5 linked regions of the Coturnix japonica genome follow. The main gene of each other region encodes a partner of the protein of the gene in region 3 in a complex. Links are inferred from orthologs where the notes say so. Each region holds a gene or a part of one and is shown on either strand. Other genes may lie near its edges.

Evidence for each region.
Region 1: LRRC23 (region 3) and ROPN1L share a complex: the UniProt entries of both Homo sapiens proteins name them as parts of the axonemal radial spoke complex. The link is inferred for Coturnix japonica from reciprocal best matches to the Homo sapiens genes LRRC23 and ROPN1L.
Region 2: LRRC23 (region 3) and DYDC1 share a complex: the UniProt entries of both Homo sapiens proteins name them as parts of the axonemal radial spoke complex. The link is inferred for Coturnix japonica from reciprocal best matches to the Homo sapiens genes LRRC23 and DYDC1.
Region 4: LRRC23 (region 3) and NME5 share a complex: the UniProt entries of both Homo sapiens proteins name them as parts of the axonemal radial spoke complex. The link is inferred for Coturnix japonica from reciprocal best matches to the Homo sapiens genes LRRC23 and NME5.
Region 5: LRRC23 (region 3) and DNAJB13 share a complex: the UniProt entries of both Homo sapiens proteins name them as parts of the axonemal radial spoke complex. The link is inferred for Coturnix japonica from reciprocal best matches to the Homo sapiens genes LRRC23 and DNAJB13.

What each region holds. Positions count from the first base shown.
Region 1 is NC_029517.1:52,312,327-52,316,036, reverse strand, and holds the end of ROPN1L (ropporin-1-like protein), read right to left. Parts: intron 1,987-3,710; coding exon 1,811-1,986; intron 999-1,810; coding exon 941-998; 3' UTR 643-940; downstream 1-642. UniProt on the Homo sapiens protein: Functions as part of axonemal radial spoke complexes that play an important part in the motility of sperm and cilia. Important for male fertility.
Region 2 is NC_029521.1:3,510,799-3,515,324, forward strand, and holds the start of DYDC1 (DPY30 domain-containing protein 1), read left to right. Parts: upstream 1-1,703; 5' UTR 1,704-1,785; exon of another isoform or gene 1,786-1,833; intron 1,834-2,000; exon of another isoform or gene 2,001-2,003; 5' UTR 2,004-2,009; coding exon 2,010-2,156; intron 2,157-2,268; coding exon 2,269-2,391; intron 2,392-2,932; coding exon 2,933-3,004; intron 3,005-3,817; coding exon 3,818-4,108; 3' UTR 4,109-4,526. Other genes in the region: EXOSC3 (exosome complex component RRP40), read right to left, coding at 66-217, 1,162-1,311, 1,385-1,660. UniProt on the Homo sapiens protein: Functions as part of axonemal radial spoke complexes that play an important part in the motility of sperm and cilia. Plays a crucial role during acrosome biogenesis.
Region 3 is NC_029516.1:69,563,051-69,566,950, reverse strand, and holds the end of LRRC23 (leucine-rich repeat-containing protein 23), read right to left. Parts: intron 2,098-3,900; coding exon 1,961-2,097; intron 1,531-1,960; coding exon 1,356-1,530; 3' UTR 1,308-1,355; intron 1,073-1,307; 3' UTR 756-1,072; downstream 1-755. UniProt on the Homo sapiens protein: Essential for sperm motility and male fertility. Plays an important role in the proper assembly of the third radial spoke (RS3) head and the bridge structure between RS2 and RS3 in the sperm flagella.
Region 4 is NC_029528.1:3,795,319-3,799,597, reverse strand, and holds the start of NME5 (nucleoside diphosphate kinase homolog 5), read left to right. Parts: upstream 1-1,270; 5' UTR 1,271-2,745; coding exon 2,746-2,874; intron 2,875-4,041; coding exon 4,042-4,247; intron 4,248-4,279. UniProt on the Homo sapiens protein: Functions as part of axonemal radial spoke complexes that play an important part in the motility of sperm and cilia. Does not seem to have nucleoside diphosphate kinase (NDPK) activity.
Region 5 is NC_029516.1:175,177,695-175,182,180, reverse strand, and holds DNAJB13 (dnaJ homolog subfamily B member 13), read right to left. Parts: upstream 3,052-4,486; 5' UTR 2,943-3,051; coding exon 2,875-2,942; intron 2,760-2,874; coding exon 2,656-2,759; intron 2,204-2,655; coding exon 2,042-2,203; intron 1,700-2,041; coding exon 1,542-1,699; intron 1,392-1,541; coding exon 1,278-1,391; intron 1,195-1,277; coding exon 1,081-1,194; intron 882-1,080; coding exon 805-881; intron 660-804; coding exon 506-659; 3' UTR 450-505; intron 365-449; exon of another isoform or gene 360-364; 3' UTR 206-359; downstream 1-205. Other genes in the region: PAAF1 (proteasomal ATPase-associated factor 1), read right to left, coding at 3,413-3,490, 4,151-4,233. UniProt on the Homo sapiens protein: Functions as part of axonemal radial spoke complexes that play an important part in the motility of sperm and cilia.

The sequences.
Region 1 (3,710 bases), on a different chromosome or scaffold from region 3:
AAAGAAATTTAGGATCAACGTCAAGCTGACAACGGTGGTGACAGACATCCTGAAGAGCTCTGCTAATGTAGAGATGGAACATATAAACAGGAAGGGGAATGGCTGTTTATGAGGGTGGACAGTGATAGGACAAGGGGGAATGGTTTTAAACTGAGAGAGGGGAGGTTTAGTTGAGATATTAGGAGGAAGTTTTTCACACAGGGGTGGTGACACACTGGAACAGGTTGCCCAAGGAGGTTGTGGATGCCCCATCCCTGGAGGCATTCAAGGCCAGGCTGGATGTGGCTCTGGGCAGCCTGGTCTGGTAGCTGGTGACCCTGCATATAGCAGGGGGCTGAAACCAGATGATCATTGTGGTCCTTTTCAACCCAGGCCATTCTATGATGATGATGATGAGGAGAAATCCAAATTAGAGATTGAACTAGATGAAACTATTGTCATTAATCTAGTTGATTTTTTTTTTTACTGTCTTGGCTACAGGGTTCTTCATGGTCTTTGAGCAGTGCTTGGCAAAACTATATGTTTTATAGAGTTTGTTTATGCAGACAAGGCAGTCAAAAGACAAGCTGTGCTTTTTAAGAGTTAAAAACAGGAAGAAAATTGTTACTTTACTTAAGAAATGGACTGGTTAAGTTGCATCCATCCAGTCTTCTCTAAATTTAGTTTTCTATTTATAAAGTCTAGGTAGAAAGATTCATGAAATACATTTGATTCAGTATAAACAAATCAGTGAAAGTACCACTCCCAAGCTGTGAGCATCAATATTTCAGAGGTGAAAAAAAACAACATAACTACATATTCAGTTCACTCTGATAAAGGACAATTTCAAGAATGAAATATAAAGGGAAAGGTGTGCTGGAGTAGAGGTTCTTTGTGTATTGTACTGACTTCTTCATTTTTTCCACCTCCGTCTGCTGCTGAAGAGTTGACTTGATCAGAACTATGATGAGGACTGGCTCTGGAAGTTTCTGAGCAGTACCATGCCATTTTGTCGGTCACTGGAAAGGAACAGGAACCAAATGTCTTAGAACAACACTTCAAGGTGATAAACTGTAGTATGTGGGGTAAGATACAGTTGAGGGTTACATTAATTGAGAGTTCTGTTATTAAAAAATGATTCTAATTAGAAATCATTCTGGTAATTGATGAGAAAGAAAATTGTTCATTTCTGTGCTTGTGCGTTCCTAATGTGATATGAAAACCAAAACGGGATGAAGTCAGGTGGGAGTATGAGTAGGCTTTGTCTTTTATATCCACTGGAGGCAACCAACACAAAGAGCATTCCAAGAACAACAGTTTACCATATTTATCTCATACTATGACAACTGGAGAGCTGAACTGTTTAAGAAGAAACTACATATTCCCCCACATAATTTTCAGGCAGAGCTAACATGGGGAGAAACACAACAGAAAGTTCACAGGCTTCAAGTGTGAGCTCCCAGTTTCTCTCCTATTTACGATCCTTGTCCCAAGAGCAGCCCGTAAGATGCTGATAGCTCCACTACCAGTAGTGCACAGATGATACAAAGCTGTATATAATTGCTTCCTAAGGGGAAAGCTACATCACTAGATAGTGAATTTAACATTTCAGAGATGGCTAAATAACAGTTTATCATTTCACAGTTCAAAGCCCCAAGGTTTTCCACTTACAGGAAATAACTATGTACGCTTTTGATATAACCTGAGTCAACCTTTACTCCTATCATGGATGCACCCCAAGCAAAGACAGATGACTCATCTAAAATTAGAGGTCTGTGGAGAATCCAGAGATAACATGTAACTTAAAATTGATGCCTGAACTTTTACTTACGCGTCTTCTTTAATCTTTTGGAGGAAAGATTTGATTTCCTCAGATGGTATGTCTCCATCGATACTAGCCAAATAGCAGTAAAGGAATGAGAACATTTCATAGGGAATACGAGCTGCTCCACCTTCTGGGTCCTCTGTTAAAATTTCGCAGGCATATTTCATTGAACTCAGCAAGGACTGGAAGGGGTTCAAGGAAGGAATGAGAACAGTATCAGAGCCGTTAACATCTTTTGTATATCATGACAAAATGCAGACTGCAAGCCACAGAAAATGAGTGAAAATGAAATGAAGGCTTTATCATTATTACCTAGCTCTCAGTATCAAATTTCTAGCTGTATGAGGAGGCTGAGGAAGCTGGAATTGTTCATTCTGGAGAAGAGGAAGCTCAAGCGGTGAGCCTAATGCTATATAACTACCTATAACTACCTGAAAGACCTGGGATTGTTCAGTCTGGAGAAGATGCTCAGGGGAGACCTTATGTCTCCCAACAAATCCCTGAAAAGAGGTTGTGGTGAGGTGGAAATCAGCCTCTTCTCCCATATAACTAGTGACAGGACTAGAGGGAATGGCCTCAGGTTGCACAAGGGGAGATAACAGGTTGGACATTAGGAAAAGTTTTCTTCTCAGAGAGTGGGCAGGCACTGGAATGGGCTGCCCAGGAAGGTGGTGGAGTCACCATCCCTGGAGGTGTTCAAGGAATGCTTAGATGTTGTACTGAGGGACATGGTTTAGCGGGAAATACTGGTGGTAGGTGGGTAGGTGCACGGTTGCACTGGATGATCTTAGAGGTCTTTTCCAGTCTTGGTGATTCTATGATTTATCAAACAGTGCAGGTTGTGAAAGCAAAACAATAATAAAGTTCAAGTAATAAACGGGAGTAAAAAAAAAAACCACAACTTTGTAATGTTGAAAGATTGCACCAAGTTGTCTGAGCTGTATCCAAAACGCTCAACAGCTCAAACCTCGCTATCTGTCTACGTGTATATATGAGCTCATGGGTCTAAATGGGTTTGCAGTGACAGTTAAGATTGATAGACAAATCTAAAACAAACAAACAAAAAAATGCAACAGTTCCATGTTAAATCTTAGGAATTATAATATTTACTATTTTCCCTCTTTGTATGCAAGCTCCACTTTAATAGTGGAAAAAACCCTGAAGCAAAAAGAATCCAAAAAGCGTCCAAGTTCTCTGTTGAACAAAAACATGCCTCTAAGTGTTAGCTCAAAGCATGCTTTGAAAAAATGCTTTATTCCACGTGGTGCCTGTAATCCAGTACCCTATCCATCCCAGGCTATTAAGGGACATGTGGAAAAATCAGGCATGAAATTTGATTGAATCAAAGGCTGGTTGGATACTATTAAAAACTTACTTTCCTCAAGCCCCACAAAGAAGAAAGCAAAAAAAAACCCAAAAACACACAAAGAAAAAGACTTTTGTTAACCCAAGAAGTCATATTTTTGTTAGAATTTCTTCAAAATTTATCTTAACTTCTTCATCAATAGGCAAGCAATGACTTTACAAATATATATTCAGGAATGTAAACTAAAATTGGAAGAAAAGAATGTAACAATTTGTAAGCCTTTCTGGTTTAAGCTGAAGTTCAGGTTTTCATCGTGCAGAGATAAAATCAAATCATTTTAATATCTGAAAGGATGGATAAAGGAAGTAAATTCAGGTTGTTCAGCTCCATCAGAACAAGGCTCCTGGGACTGCTTTTTTGTTTCGGTTGTTTTCTTTTCTTGTCATCTGGTGGTTTTTGTTCTGTTTTGTTTTTAAGTAACATTGCTGTTGTTACTACTACTACTTTTTTTTTAAGTGAAGGAAAGTAAAAGAAATCACCAAATCCATTTCTGGGCGGGGCTGGAATCAAGAAATATGCCCTTCAGGTGGACAAGTACAA
Region 2 (4,526 bases), on a different chromosome or scaffold from region 3:
GTTTAGACACATGCTAAGTTTAACAACCCCAACACTTTAGTACAACTGGTTTTCTTAGTACTTACTTTCTTATCAGACCTAAGGAAACTTTAAAGAGGAAGCCGTCTTGTCCAATTACTCCCATTCCACTTGCTCTTCCACTGCTGTCTATACAGACCATCTCTGGTTCCATGTCTTTATTTGCTACAAGGAACTGACCATAAACAAGGTCTCCCACCTAAAGCAAGCAGTGCCAGAAAACAACAAAAAAAAAGAATCATTAGAGAAGATAACAATGCACATTTGTAAGAAACATTCAGTCCATAAAGAGACAACAAAACAGTTGTAAACTGGATGAACACTTGGACAAGAACCAGCAGCGTACACTTGCAGCTCAGAAGGCCAATGGGATCCCAGGCTGGATCCAAAGAAAGATAGCTAGAAGGGTGAATGAGGTAACTGACCCCTTTATTCTGCCATTGTGAGGCCCCACCTGGGGTACTCTGTCCAAGCCTGTGGCCCCTGACACAAGACCATTGGAATGGGTCAGAAGAGGGCCGGAGCGCCTCTTGTGTGAAGAAAAGTTGAGAGAGTTAGGCTTGTTGAGCCTGGAAAAGGCTCTGGATAGACCCCATCGAAGCCTTCCAGTGCTTATAGGGAGTGACTTTTTATATAGCCTAGTAGTGACAGGACAAGGGGGAATGGCTTTGAATTAACAGAGGGGAGATAAAGGTTACATGTTAGGAAACAATTCTTTACTCAGAAGGCGCACCAGAAGCCATACCAGTCTATTCCATTTAAAATCACAGCCCATTTTACACCATGCTGACAGTGTTTCTGGTGAACGCACATATCACAAAACAACTTGTAAATGCTACAAAGCAAACCCTCCTCTACCAGCACCAGCGTTCAGAGGATGCTTTAAAGCCTCAGGGTGGCCCCTTGGGACCCACGTTACTGCACGAGTAGCACCTGCCACTGTTAACCGATGGGAAAGGTGTAAGGTCAGAAGTGAAGAAGCACAAAAAGCTCCGGAGAAAACAGAAAAAACTCACGGCCTCATCGGGACACCCCGTACAGGCCATGACAAAAGCTCTGTGAAAAAAGTCACGTTCCTCGTTTATATGGTCCGAGTGGTAAAAACACCGTTTACAAAGGCAAGCTCCCGGCGGGCAGCGTTACCTGCACGTTGGGCCTGTTCCTCTTGGTCGCGCCCTCGAAGGCCAGGTATGACAGCGAGGCCTGCTCGCTACCACCGACGTCCAGCCGGAACACGTCCCCCACCTTGCCCGTCACGATGCCGATAACGTGGTCTCCCTTCACCGGCACGTACTACAAGCGGGTACAAGCGATCAGCGGGCTCGTCCCGCACATCACCGCCCCCCGCCGCCCGCTGCCGCCGTACCCGCTTCTGCTGCGAGTCCACCCAGTAGGCGCCGCCCGCCGCCGCTCCGCCGCCCGCCTGCCGGTGCCGCAGCAGCCCGCACTTGGTGACCAGCAGCCCGCCCGCACAGCGCCGCAGCCCCGGCCCGCACAGCAGCCTCCCCCGCGGGGCCGCGCTGGTGCCCAGCGGCAGCTTGTCGAGGTCGGGCTCTCCGTGCTCGGGCAGCAGCAGCACATCGCCGGGCAGCACCACTTGTCCCACACGGGTCTCCGCCGGCACGCCGCCCCCACCCGCCATCGCGTGCGGCCCTTCCGGCGGAAGCAGACGCAAAATGGCGGCGGCGATGGAAGGGCCGAGAGCGCAACGACAGCGACACCGCCCGGCCGCCTGACGCAGGATCCAGCCGGGAGCGCGGTTGCCCGGTAACGCGGTTGGACGCGCTGTGCGATCGGGCCGGTAGGAGCGAAGCGGTAGGGAACGGGGGACAGCACCGCTACCACCTTCTCATATTAATTGCCTGATGAAATGAGCTTTGATAAAACCACCAACATCACACTGGGGATGTGATGCAGTCAACACTTCCTCTAACTGCTGTCTGAATTCCGATATCGGTGACTAATATCTGTCGGTTTGTCAGTAGGTGAGAATGGAGTCTCAATACCTGAGGAGATGTCTGGGAAGCTGCTTGAAAAAGGGTCTGGCGGAGGTTGTGGAGCGTCGGCCCGCTGACCCAATAGAGTACCTGGCACACTGGATCTACAACTACAAGAAAACACTAGAAGAAGAAAAGAAGGTGGGTCTACCTCGGGCAAAGCATTTCATGTCAATCTAACTGATGCTGTATAATCTCTCTTTGTGTTTTGTTTCCTTTTTTTTTCATTGATTTCTTGTTACCTCTGAAATAGAGAACGTTGGAAAGGGCCAAACTGGAAAAAGAACGGCAGGCAGCCCTGGAAGAACTTGAAATGTTAAGAAAAATGAAGGAAGAAGAGCTACTGATACAACAGAAACTTGAAGAACAACGGCAGGTTAATAGTTGTTCATAATTATAGTAGCGTGTGATGCTGGGTCAACTTGTAGCTCTCACTACAATAGTAGTCATTATCAACATAGAATCATAAGAGAATCAGAATGTTGGAAAGTACCTACAATTGTATTCTGATCTTGAAAGGGAAAAGATAACAAAAAGTGCTTAAACATTGCGTTTTGAAAATATCATTATTTCGAAAGGAATTAGAAAGGACAGCTGAGCAGCTGGGGAGAAAAACTTACCTGCTACATGACAAGATGTTACCAAAAATGAAGAGACTAAGCTAAAGAGAAACTAACTAAAGATATGTTAGAAAATTAGATTAGGATAAGTAGACTGTCTTCTGCAGTTAACTATCTTAGCTATTTTTTCCTCCCATAGAATCTATATGGATTAGTCTGTCTATAATAGATGCTGTGCAAAGCTTCAAAGAGCCTAATCCAAAGTATAGGAGATATAAATATTAACTACTAAAGAGCACGAGGAACTGAGTATCAAAAGCATATACGCTATCTTCAGCTGTCTTCTCTTTACAATAGGAACAAGAACGTGAGAAGATGGAACAGCAGAATAAAGAAGAGAACATGCAGGAGCAGCAGAAAGATCCAGAGGTTTAAGCCAAAGCTTAGTCAAGATAAAGAAATATTGTTAATCATCTCTCTTATTCAGATCCAGTCCCTAAATACAGAACACAAGGCAGAAGCCTTGAACACAACAAAACAGAAAGCTAACATTAGGGAAGAACGTTTAATGCTTCTTTCCAGCTTAGGTTTTAGACTTGAATTCTCATCTGTTCTATTGGGTTTCTTTAGCTTTTATTCAGAACAGAGCATAAAGTTATTATAAAATGTAGCTTAAGTTCAGATTTTTTTTTAATTAATAAAATACTAGAACTTGAACGTGTCTAACATGAATGCTTAGATAGTTACATTTTACTGCCTGGCAACGTGAAGCCCATTTGCCACACCTGGAAAAGGAACCAACACTTGGAGGTGGGATGCCTCTTGATTTTTTGGTCTTCCATATAAATACATAGTCATATGATGCTGTTTTGGTAAAACAGATTGATCATTGACACTTAGACGTGAAACATTTCCTAACTTTACTTGGAGCAGAATAGAGATATTTTTAGAGCACTGTGTTGAGATATTGATAGCACATAGCTAGAAGAATGACTGTAAATGTAACAGAAGTATGCACGTTTATAAACTGAAGCAAAAAAGAACCCTGAAACCTTTGTAAAAACAGTCTTTACATGCACAAAGACCCCATTTGCACACTAACACATTTGTGTAGCAAGCATCTGAAGTATTGTCTTTACATTCATACTTAAACTACATTTTCAAAGCATGTTCAAAGTATCCACTGTAGACGATTGCTCATGACACGGAATACTTCTAATTGAAAATGAATTTCCACTACAGGAAGATGAGAAGACAATAGCTGAACTTACAGATAGAGCAGGAGCACCTAATTTGCCCACAGTTGAGGAAGTAGATGAGAGTGGAGTGTCTGAGGTAAGTGTTTGGAAAGAAAAAGGTTACATGGAATTAATGCTCAAACATTTTCTTGCTGACAAATGGAAGACTAAGACTGTTCTAGTTAACCCTATACCGGTTCTTTACTACAATCTGAAGGGATATTATTTGGGCCACAGTCTTCATGCTGTCCTTAGGCTGTACATTCTGAAAGGCTGCTTATGTGGTGCTGAGTGAATAAAGTGCCAAAGATTTAAAATGCCCCTTTATAGTCATGTGTGTTATGAATGGATGTATTAATATTCTCAGACAAGAAGCAGCCTTCCTTCGCCTTTTGAGCAGGTGTCAAACAGGACACAGACTCAATCACAAACACTGTCTTGCTTCTGAATGAAATGACTTACATTATTCTGATTGGTCTGAAGTACATTGTTCATGCAGCAGAACGCAGAGATATCTGAACAATTATTTAATGTAAAAGACCAGGTACCAAGCGCACAGTGCTCAGTGCAGCAAAGACCTGCTAAGAATCAGGTTATCCAAACCCTGTGCCAGCATGACAGTACTTATTCCAAAACTACAACTATCAATCTAAATTGTGATATGCAGCCATCTTCTACACCCCTATTTTTTTATTCACTTTGTGCTTGACAAT
Region 3 (3,900 bases):
GCGAGCTTTACCTCACGCTACAGCCAGTCCCCTCCCCCAGGTAGAGCTCCATCTCAGCGTCTCCCCGCAGTGCCCTTGGAAGCAGCCCCCTATGCTTGTCGGTTGCCCCCCCCCCCAACTCTCCCCTTTCCCCAGCCTCGTATCTGAACTGATGCTCGCCGGGGATGGGGAAGGAGGGAGTACCTGAAATTAAAATAGGAAAGAGAAGTGAGAAGGGTGGGGGTGAGGAGAAACGGGTGGGAGGAGCAGGTGGAGGAAGTGAGAGGAGTTTAATCGCTAATTCCGCTCACTACGGTCCTTTCCTACAGGGACACAAGTGCGTGTAGGGTTTGGAGGGCACGGAGCGGGGAGCAGAGGCACGCATGCAGTGAGGGGAGGGGGCGGCTGGCAACGGGGGGGGGGGGGGGGACACTTACCTTCCTAAAGCAGGGGTGAACGAGAGACTGAGAAAGTGCTGGTAGAGAGGAGAGAGGACGGAGCTGAGAAGGGATGCAGGACCTCAAGGGGAGATGATGTGTCCTCTAAGCCAACGGCGGCGGCGGCAGCAGCAGGATGGAGACGCCCCTGATAGGGCCGGGACAACAGCATGTGACCCAAAGCTGCGATTAGTCAGGATTTAGCAAAGCTTTGCAAACAGCACGTAGAGGATGGAGAGAGAAAGAGAGAGAGACAGACAGGGGACGGACACAGACAGATGAGGGCGAGAGAGATAGGGAATAGGAGTGGGTGGGCAGGATAAACAATTGCAGACACTCTAGGCTCATTACAGATTTTTATCCAAATAAGAAAATCACGTAGAATTTCTGCGAGCCATAAATCAAAGCACAACGTTTGTAACCCCCCTTTTCCCCTCTTGGGACTACTTGGAGTATGTACGTGCAGAGACTGTAAAAACACTGCGGTAACTGAAGGCAGCAGCCAGGACACTCCTCTCTTCTTCAGGCAAAATGAGGTGAACCTCGTATCTGTAGCTTTGCTCTATGGATAGATGCATCCCCACATCTTCACAGGGAACAGGGATTTGAACTGGTGGTCACTTGGTCACATCACCCTGGAGAAGTACCTCCATTTCCTGAAGAAGGAAAGAGGGAGAACTGAAATGACTCCATGCCTGGCTTCTTTTCCTCTTTCACCCCTCACTTGTGCTGCTGGGACCAGGGATGGCCATCAGGCTGTGAAGCCTGTTTTCTGTTGCAGGCTGCTCTGCCCTTGGGACTGACCTCCCTCAGCTATTTCATCATGCAACCCAAAGGAGGAGGGGCTGAACAGCACATCTGATCTTATGTCTTTCACATCCTCGTTCATACCTTTTCTTCTTCCTGCCTTTTCTAACAGATTCCATTCGCCTCTGTACGCTAATTTTGCTCAACTGGTTCCTTGTCGAGACGCTTCAGGTTTGGCAGCTGGTCCAGAACCTCCTGCTGGTAGTTTGAATCGTCAGCGCATGGATTGTCCATCAGCACCAGGACCTGCAGCATGGGGAGCACCTGCAGTTTTGCCACTTCCTGCAAGCTACTGATCGCATTGTTCCTAAAGAAAAGCCAGCACAATGTGCAGGAGAAAGATCCGTATAAGTCATAACAATAAGGATTTCTTTGTGTTCGGTGCATTGAAATGTCTGACAATGCCAACCCCCTGTACAGCAAGTGCTTGGAAGAAAAGGACACTGGTGGTCATGGCCAGGACATGGAGGAGAAGCAGAGGGGGATGGAACAAAGAGTAACAGCAAGATTTTAAAGGTATGGTGTAGGGTCTGAGAGCAACTGGAGGGGCAGATCTTTACTGAGAGGTGGGAAACTGGTAGAAAACTGAGCCCTGAACACCAGTCAAAAGCAATAAAGATGAACCCAACCTGTACCCATCAGGTCTCCAGCTTCTAGAGAAAGCAGAAAATCCTAAAGATAGGAGTACAGCCTGATTAACTGCTGTTTAGTCCTGACACAAAGCAGGGAGGACCCACCGTAGATTGAGGTACTGCAGGCACTTCATGCTGCTAGAGAATCCATCCAGGGTCCCAAGCTCATTATCACGCAGGTGCAGGGTTGATAGCTGCTCTAGTGCCTCAAGGCCTTCAAGGCTCTTAATGGTATTCTGGGCCTAAGCAGGGATGTAGGAAGTGAGAATTAAAACAAAAAGGCAGACATGGCAAAGGAAATAGTTATTTCTGGCCTGTTAAGCTCTTTCTACTCTTCAGACTTCCTAGCACTGCCAAGCAACCTCTGAAGCAGGACATCATACATACACAACAACACAGGGAGCCTTCCTGGCAGTGACACATAGTATGGCCAGAAGCCAAACCAGGAATTCTACTGGAATTTTAGAGATAGAGAACAAAATACCTTGAGAACATGTCTGCAGCTCTCACTTGTACCTGATCAGGATGCTGGTTACACTCACAAAGAGTCAGATGGGAAAGGACCTTTGGAAGTCTCCATGCAGCACCATGCTTACAACCAGGCTAACTCCAAGAGTCCAGTGAACTTCCAGTTTAGCTCCTTCTTTTATGGGAGAAATCTACTATCAAAATGCATACGACCAGAAGCGGGCTGCATGATCCTGACAGAGGTTTCAGAAAAGCAGGGCCTGACATCTGGTTTAAGTGCTTCTTAGCACCACATCTTTCAACCCAGAGATAAGCAGAACATCACTTGTGATTGTGGCTTAGGGTTGTAGTCCCTAAGGATGCAGATACCCGAACAGGACACAGGGAGGGAGGCTCCTATCCTAGTTTCAACCGAGATAGTGCTAATGTTCTCCATAGTAGCTATCACTGTGGCATGTTTTGTATTGAGGATGAGGATGATGTTGTTGTTACCCAAGCAGTGATGTAGTCAATGCCCAAATCTAACAGAAGGGGAACAGCCTCAGCTGGTAGGATAGGAGAGGAGGAAATCAGGAGCTGATGACGGAATCAGGGTGGGGAGCTCACAGACCACTAGTGTGTGAAATGAATAGCAACCTACTATCACTCCCACTTGCTCCACTACACCAGCGCAAACAGTTTGAAAGGCTCCAGCCATGCAAGCTATCGTTTCTTAGTGGAAGCTAATACAATACGTTGCCCATGCTGCAGCTAGCCTTTGTCAGCAGTACTGCACAATGAAGTAACACAGACTTACCCTTCGCACAGCACTGAACCTAAAATGGATGCTGACTGAGGCACCACGTGGTTCACAATCAGCCTTTAGTTTTCCTGCCGGTGGGCAGAACTTTGTGAATGCTGAAACTATGTCATATATTAACCAAATTTGATTCAGTTACTTTAAGCTGACCTTTGAATTCCTATTTGATGGGTGCGCTGAACCCTGCCCTTGCAACATCGGCTTTATCTACCTATGGACCATGTAACACCAACATGTTTCTACAGAGAGCAAAGCAGTACCGGGAGGTATCCCCCCTCCAGAATGATTTGATAAGCAGGTGAACGTGGGAAACAAATTCAAGCCCACAACATTCCAATCAGTTGTTGTAGTTTTAATAATCTCATCCTACAGTTTGCCTGCTTCAGATGTGTGGCTCAGGAATTCTGTCTCCCTCTTTAAATACAAGTGTTACTGTTGTTTAACTCCTGCTAACATGACTTGTTTTAATCAGAATTTCTATACTGTACCTAGTGACTTAGCCACTTCATCCCTCCTTCCAGCACCCATAGTTCTAAGACTTCAGCTTTACATCAGAGAACAGCAGACAAACTCAGCTAACAGTCTCCACTGTGCTTTCTGCCAGGGAGTACTGATGAAAAGAAACCCTGTAGCTTTTCAAAACCTTTTATCATCTCTAATTGCTTTTGCACAGGTAATGACTTGGGACCACCATCAAGTCTTTGCAAGCCATAGTACTGTGTGATTCATAGGAGTAAGCCAACATATTTTCTTCATTTATGTCTCAAGCAGTAAGTGT
Region 4 (4,279 bases), on a different chromosome or scaffold from region 3:
TGAGGAGGCACTTCTATGGAGGGGTTGTATTAAATTAACCGATTGATTACAAGAGACTGAAGTGCATCTGTGCAGGTGCTGGGGGGTCAGGGAGAGTGTGTGGCAAAAGCTGTGAACATATGAAAGAGTGGGCATGAGGATCAGGAAATAAAATAGAAGAAGGTCAGCAGAGCATGCTGTAGATAGGAAGTTTGTTATTACTTAGAGCCTTGTAGAAATAAGATCTTTAAAGAAAGTAGTGAGGTAGCAAATACATGAAAGCAGAAATGAAGGCTTGAATTGTGTTAGTCAGAAGCAATATAAAGTTAGCTCGGATTACAGGCGTGTAGGCAAGCTGCAGCAGAGTCGTTAGCTGTAAGAAATGGAGCAGGGAACGGGCTCACAGGAGCGGAAGTTTGCTTGGTCACAGGATTTCCGTCAAAGACACTTTGCACTGCAAAAGCAAGCACGGCTGCAGCACGTTCTGCGTGTGGGTATCCCAGCCTTCATCGTAGGAGACAGAAGCAAATAAAAATGATGTCAGTGGTGGACAGAAGTTGTTTGTGTGGCAAATGAATAGCCAGTCAATGATTACTACTATTTTTTTGGAGTTCAAAGTTTGAAAACAGTATCTTTTCCTTAAGAACATCATTTCTTTGCTACTAGAATGCATCTGCAGCCACAATCTTGTTATTATAGTGTTATTATATTCCATGCCAGCCCAAAATAAGACAACCAAGGCTTGTTAAACTGCTTAACAGGTCAGATACAGCAGCAGAGCTGTGCCCGGAGAAGTATTCGGGACTTAAAATGGTTTGTTGCATTGTAATTAAAATTTCAGGTTTTGTTTGTTTCTTTTCTTAGCTCTTAATAACATCCCTGGGCTACAGAAGTTAGAGAGGACGCTTCAAACCAGCCTTTTAGTCATTAAAGTAGCTTTAAAAGCGCTACAAAGATACCATGCGTACAATAACAGTATCAACACGGGGTTAAAAGGTCGGGTCTATGGAATTTAAGGATTTAGAAGAAACCTTTGAGATACTCTTAGCGTGTAAAGCTACTTCTTTGTTAGGGAACACACGATGTTATTTTCTCTTAATGCGCGGGGTCCCTTTAAATGTGCAACTCTGCATTATTAAACGGTCGTGGGAAGTGTAGCAGGAGGAAACCCCGGGTAATTGGCTGCAGCTTCAGATGCAGCAGCTCGCTCATTGGAGAGCAGAGGATTCTCTGAGTTGCTAAAATTAGATGATCTCCACCCTCCAGAAATGCTTCTGGAAACAGCAAGGAGGAGAAATTGTGACACAGAAGGATGGGGAGTGCACGGGACACTGCTCATGGGGAGGCTGCAGCAGACAAGGATGCACGGACAGATATTGATGCATTTTTTTTTTCCTATCTTTTTTAACTGAGAGCAAAATGCACCCAGCTAAAGGAACTGCGAGAGATTAAAGTCAGCAGTATTCTGTGAGGATATTAAATTCAACGTTTTTTAAGTAATAATCGGAAATATTCACTGGGGCTGAGGGAGGCTTTTGAGCTGCTAAGCCTGGGGTCAGCCTGTCAGCCTTGTAGGCGTTTGGTTTGCAAAGAGAATTAACCCTGAACTAAAAGGAAAAATAGATGAACTCCCAGATCTTTCTAGGAATTTATTTCTCACAAAACACGTCTTTCCCTTATCTGTGAGCAGTTGCTGCATTTACAGTATCTCCGACTGCTGGTTGAGCTCTCTCTGTTTAAGAAGCCGACATGAGTGCTTGTCTCTTGGTCCATCTCACCCCAAGGGCTCAAATGGAACATTAATTCCAGCTGGATGTGACAAACAGATGTCACCCGGGATCCCATCACTGCTGGCAAACACACAGCAGTGGAAGAGGCCTGAATGTGAGGAGTCCATGGGCTGGTGCTGGCGTTATCGCAGCCACCGGGCTGTGCTGAGCCGATAGCAGCTGGCAGGCCTCAGCGGGGCGGCGGGCTGCTTGTTTCTGTGTTAAAACCGGGTAACACCGGGGACAAAATGCCTTTCAATCCAAAGTGCTGAGAAACTGTGTTCTAGAGTTGGGAATTGAGGTCAGCGCCCGCTCTGTTGTGAGCTGCGGGTCCGACGGGAAATAAACAGGAGGTGCCGTGCGTGCTGCCGCCACACGGCGAGATTTAAAGAACCTGCAGGGGGCTTTGGCAATGAAAAGTTTGTTTCTGTTCCAAAACACCGGTTCTACAGCGTAACCTCTGTTCATGAGCGTCAGCTGTGAGATATTGCTTTCAGCGTGGAGTAAAACCGACAGAAAGCTGTGTCACAGGATTAACAACGCATCAGATCCCCAAAACAAGCTATTTTACTCCTTTCCTTACGCTCTTATCACACCTAGAGCTCAGGAAAGAGGCAAATGAGATCCGGAAAGCGCGGTTGCCGAGGGTGCGGCCTCCCCCCGCTCAGGCAGCGCCGCTCCCGGCCGCCATTTCTGCTCCACCCCCGCACACGCACGCAGCCGCCCGCTGCCAGGGCACGGCCGCCATCTTGTGGCCAATGGCAGCTGCCCGCATTGCCCTGCCGGCACCTGGCAACGGGGCGGGCACGGAGGAGCCGTTGGTGACCGGGAGCTTTCCGTGTGTGTTTGCGTGTCTTCAGAGACTCACGGGCACGGAGGCCAAAACCCAGGGAGAACCGTGTCTCAGGAAACCATCCCACGTTACTTACACTATTCGGAGATAAACGTTGTCATCAACTGCTGTCGTTGTAGGGCTAAGAAGTTCTAATGCAGAAAGATGGAGAGGCTCATGCCAGAACCTCAGATTTTTGTGGAAAAAACACTGGCTCTCATCAAACCTGATGTTGTAGATAAGGAGGAAGAGATAGAGGATCTCATCCTCAGATCCGGATTCCTGATTGTTCAGGTAAAAAGCTGCGTTCCTGAGATAACAGCTGCAGTTGGTGGGTCACGTCAATGGTCTTCTTAACTTTCAGCAGTCAGTTCAATAATTAAAAGCTTCTGTTGCCCAAAAATCGGTTTATATTTTTCACGTCATCAACCACAACTCCCAGATTCCTCGAGGATACATTTCGTTGGTGTGTGACATGGAAGAGAACCCACCAGACTTCGCTGACAGAAGAAACCCCATACTTCCTTCATGAACTGGGTTCATTAACAAATGAACTCAAAAACAAAAAGCCTTCTTCCATGTCCCCCCGTGGGGTTGGGTTGGTCGCTGGGTGCCGCTGTCGTCCTCATCGTGTTTGCTTTCTTCTCTTCCTCCTCCTCCCCCTCCTAGTAGTGTGGAGGCAGCACCTTCGGCACCGAACTTTGAGGGCACTGGCTGAGCAGCAACCAGGCTTCTAGATACAAGTATTACATGTATATGCTTCCCTAAAACTGTCATCTTTCGTAAATGCCTTGAAAAGTTTGAAAAGAGTTTGAAAAGAACTTGTTCTTTTTTAATTTCTTCCTCTACATTTCTGTTTGTTTTAAGTATAGGAAATTCATCAGAAGATTAGAGTTGTGTGTGTGCGTGTGTGTGTTTTGTTTTCTTTCTTAATGAGAAGAGCTTTACAGTCATTAACTTTTGACATTGAGGCTGATAGGAATCTGAATGCTCAGCACTCTGTATCACATTAGAGCAGGCTCAAAGAAAGGAGTTTTTAATAAGTTAATTTCTCTCCAGGCTGCCCTGTGCCCTCTGCTGGATAACCTGTTACACCTGGCCTAATTCTGGCTACCTGCAGGCAGGATAGCTATAGTGAAAATCCTAAAGCACCGAATGAAAGAAAGAACAATTGTATAATTAATGCTGCGGGTATTAATTATAACACAGAAACCTCTTGGTTGGTTGCTTCTTTGTTTTGTTTTCTTTTCATTGTTTGTTGTTTCTGTTGTTGTTGTTGCTTTGTATCTCAAGGGGGACCAAATCTGAGAGAATCAGACTAAGCTGGGAAGTTACCCTGTACCTCTTCAGCTTGCACTTGAAAATGTGACTGCCTCCAAAGAACAGTGTGGTACCTGAGGTAGCAAACCAGCTCTATTTAGTAAACTTTTTTCTTTCTCTTCTCTTTTACGCTTTTCTTAGAAACGGAAGCTCCAGCTGAGCCCAGAGCAATGTAGCATCTTTTATGCAGACCAGTATGGAAAAATGTTTTTTCCTAATTTAGCAGCCTATATGAGCTCTGGACCTTCACTTGCTATGGTTCTTGCCAGACATCGGGCAGTCTCATATTGGAAGGAATTGCTTGGACCATCAAACAGCATAAAAGCCAGGCTGACTCACCCTCACAGGTAAGCCTGGTTTTGGTGAAGTCAGAAGGATT
Region 5 (4,486 bases), about 110 Mb from region 3:
TGGATGGATGGAGGTGTCTGGATGATGGAGGTGTGCGCAGCGGAGCAGGGAGAGGAAGGAAGAAGGCCTTGAGGTTTTCCAGTTAGGAGCTTCCCAGCAGCAGTGGGATGGACAGGTGGGGAGGAGCATTATGGCATGGGGGATGCGGTAAGTCCAGGTGTTCCTCACTGATGCTTCAAATAAATCACCCCTATGGGGTCTATCCCAGTAGTACTTGGGGTTCTGTCACCTTCTCTTTATTAGAGGGGAGGGTGGGGTTTTACTCCCGGTCCGGAGCTGCTGTTGGGTTCCAGCCCTCGTGGTCTCTTCCTCAATGATTCTGCTCTTGCCAAAGGGGAGCAGCCCAACAGCGGGGAGAGCTGCAGTGCAGAAGGAAGGGAGGAGAGCAGTGATGGGTGCAGCAGAACACAAGGGGAGCAGAGTTGGGCTGCGGGGAGCCCCGTTTGTACCTCACTCTCAGCACTGGCGGCCTCAGCGGGAGGAAAGCGGGGGGTGGCAGCAGCTCTTAGGGCAGCAGCGCTCTCTTCAGGAGCACCTTCTTGTTGGGGCTGAGACGTTTGGGGAAGCAGACGTTGAACTGGATGAGGAGGTCGCCCTTTTGGTGCGGGTCCTTCAGCAGCGGCATCCCTTCCCCAGGCACCACTTTGCAGTAGGTGGGGCTGCAAAGTGAGAGGGAGCTGAGGGTGGGAGCCCCCAACCTGCTCCCAAAGCTCTTGGAGCACCCAAGAAACCCAAGAGGAGCAGCTGGCAGCCCACAGAGGTTCCTCCCATAGCACCCATCTGCCTGCAGATCTGCACACTCACTGCACGATGTCATTGATGGGGATGTTCAGCAGCCGCCCATCCAGCGTCCTCACTTCCACTGTGCAGCCAATCAGTGCCTAAAGACACAGAGCAGGACCAAGAGCTGCAGATGCGGCCACACAGAGCCCCCCATCATTAACCATGGTGCCAAGGACAACTCCCATAGGGACCAAAGGGGCCGAGGCTCCGAACCCGGCGCTATCCTCCTTCTGCATGTTTTGCAGTTGCTGGCTGAAGGCAAAAGGCAGCTGGACGCCCCCTCCCTTTGCTCCTCACCTTTCCCAGGGGGATGTTGGCCACGTAAATGAGGTCGTCGTTGGATCTTTTAAACCTCGGGTGAGGTTTCTCTTGGATAACGAAGATGATGTCGGCTGGAATGATGTTTGGGCCCTAAAAAGGGGGATGGGGGTGGGAAAGGAGCTCTAGGAATGGTTTTATGGGCCCAGCCCACAACTTCAGGTCACAGAGGTTACCTGGTCTCCTTCCTTCTCAAATGTGATCCTGGTGCCTTGCTTCCACCCCGGCTGCACGTCGATGATCAGGATCTTGTCCCTGATGGTGCTTGTTTGGCCGTCTTCGTTCATCACCTGCAGGGTGGATGAGTTTGGGGGGATAAAGGGAAACCTCTGCTGTCAGAACAGCTCCAGGCCGGGCTGGATGCACCCTGGTGCAATGCAATCTGCTGGGGGGAAGGTGTAGCTCATCCTGCCTGGCACAAGGTCCCTCACTGTCCTTACCCGGCGGGAGATCTTCATCTTCTTGGTGCAGCCAAAGAAAAGGTCTTCGAGGGAGACATGGAGGTCCCACACCATCGGGGGGTCCTGCTTCATCACACCTCTTCCTCGCAGCCCTCCAAAGGGCAGCGTCGCCTCCACACCATCCTTGGTGAAGAACTCTGCATGGGGCAGCATGGAGGATACGGGGCTCCAAACCACATTCCCAGTGTGAATGAAAGAACAAAACTTGTAGCAGAGAGGAGATGGAGATGAGATGATGGTAATATTTCACTCAGAGGGTGGTAAGACCCCGGCACTGCCCAGAGCTGTGGGTGCCCCATCCCTGGAGGTGCCATAGGCCACAGATGGGCCCTGGGCAGCCTGAGCTGGGGGCACCCATAACAAGGGATGGGGCTGAGGGGGCTTTGAGGTCTGTTAGGAAGAAGTTCAGGGGCTGGTGATGAGCACAGCCCTAAAAGGGCACAGGCTGCCCCATGGATGGCAGCAGAGCAGCCACCCACCTGCAAAGGGGTTGTGTCCTCCAAAGAACTCCTTGAAGACTCTGTCGGGGTTGTTGTGGAAAACATAACCAGGAGTCCAGGCATCCTCACTGCCAGACTCCACAGGGACGCCGCCTTTGAGACCTTCTTCACCGAACCGATCGTAGATGCCTCTCCTTACAGCTATGGGGCAAGGAGAGACGGGGAACAGATATCTTACTGAGAAGGACGCGCTCAGAGCGGCCCTGAGGGGAAGGAGGTGGGAGTTGTGGTAGAGAAAAGCAGGACATGAGTAATCCCAGCACATAGGGCCAGCAGTGCTGCACCAATAGAGGGAAACAGGCAGGAAGGGAATGTCCCCTTCATGTGAAGCACTGCATTTAGACCTGGGGCCTCCAGCACAGGAGGGACGTGGGGCTGTGGGTCTATAGGAGGACATGGGAATGCTCAGAGGACGGAGCCAGGCTGAGGGGGATGTTCAGCCTGGATGAGGCCAGGCTGGATGTGGCTCTGGGCAGCCTGGGCTGCTGGTTGGTGACCCCACACACAGCAGGGGGCTGGAGCTGGATGAGCACTGTGGGCCTTTGTAACCCAGCCCCATTCTGTGACCCTATGGACTCATCCCCGCTGCTTACGGTCGCTCAGCACATCGTAGGCCTCCGCCAACAGCCTGAACCGCTCCTGCGCCTCCGGCTCCCTGCATTTCTGCGGGTGGTTCTCCAAGGCCAACAGCCGGTACCTGCGGGATGAGGAGCACAGCGAGGCCTACAGCCCCCGCTAGGCCCCATGCTGGGATTGAAGCGGCCATTCGCCCCCAACCCGCCCCCAACCCACGTCTATCCACCCCCCCTCACGCCTTCTTAATGTCGGCGTCCGTGGCCTGGCGGCCCAGCTCCAGCACGGCGTAGTAATCCTGCCCCATGGCGGCCTCCTCGCTATGGTTACGCAAACAGAGGATGGGTTACCAAGGCAACGCCTGTAGGCCGCACTTCCGGCTCTCTGATATATTTCCGTTTCCGTTAGCGCGGAGCACGATGGGAGTTGTAGTTCTTTCAGCGCCACCCACCGCCATTTTGTACCAAACAACCCACTCGGAGCTTTAAGATTAACACCGACTTTTCCTCCACACAAACTCTATGAAAGCGGCTTTATTTCAGCCCACAGCCTCGATTTAACACCCAAATCCACCTCACAGCAGATAAAAAGGGGCTGGAAGGGGCAGAAATGAGCAGAAACAGCCATAACATCAGCCCCATCCCTCCCTCATAGACCCCATAGACCCCATAACACACACAGCCATGTTGCTCACAGACCCCATAACACACACAGCCATGTTGCTCACATCCCCTATAACACACACAGCCATGTTGATCATAGACCCCCCATTAACCCCTACAGGTCTCCCAGCTGGTACCGCCGCACCACGCCGTCCCTGCAGCACGTGTAGATCTGCTTCTCCCACTGAGCGACCTGAAACAAGGAGGGGGGGGGGAAATAATGCAATAAGCCAACAAAGCTGGGTGGGAGAACACAATGAGGTTCAATAAGGCCAAGTGCAACTGTGTGCTGGGCTGCATTTAAAGGGGTGGCCAGCAGGGACAGGGGGGTGATTGTCCCCCTCTACTTGGCTCTTGTGAGGCCCCATCTGCAGTGCTGCATCCAGGCCTGGGGCCTCCAGCACAGGAAGGACGTGGAGCTCTTGAGTGGGTCCAAAGGAGACCACTAAGATGGCCAGAGGGCTGGAGCAGCTCTGCTATGAGGAAAGGTTGAGGGAACTGGGCTGGTTTAGCTTGGAGAGGATAAGGCTGCGGGGAGACCTCATTGTGGGCATCCAGTACTTGAAGGGAGCGAATAAACAGGAGGGGGAACAGCTGTTTGTGAGGGTGGGCAGTGATAGGACAAGGGGGAATGGTTTGAAAGTGAGACGGGAGGTTTAGGTTGGATCTTAGGAGGGTTTTACACCCAGAGGGTGGTGACGCACTGGAACAGGTTGCCCAAGGAGGCTGTGGATGCCCCATCCCTGCAGGCATTCAAGGCCAGGCTGGATGTGGCTCTGGGCAGCCTGGGCTGCTGGTTGGTGACCCTGCACATAGCAGGGGGTTGGAGCTGGATGAGCACTGTGGGCCTTACCTTGTACACAGGGTCACAATCTGCCTCTGTGAGGTCGATGACATAATCGAGGTCTTGCTGAATGATAAAGCACGTTCCATCACCTACGCAAGCAGAAGGAACACCAAGGAAGGAAAGAATATTGGGTGATGAGTAAAAACAGGCCACGTTCTTTCTATAAACAGCACTATGAGCCCAGCAGAAATGCCCAAGAAAAGGGAGACATGTGATGAGAAAAGGCTCTAATGACTGAGAAGCTCCTTGCAGGCCATGATATGGGGGAGCACAAGAAAAATCACAAGGCAAAAAGCAACTACGTAATAGGATGTTCCACTACATCAACTTTTTGCAATGGAC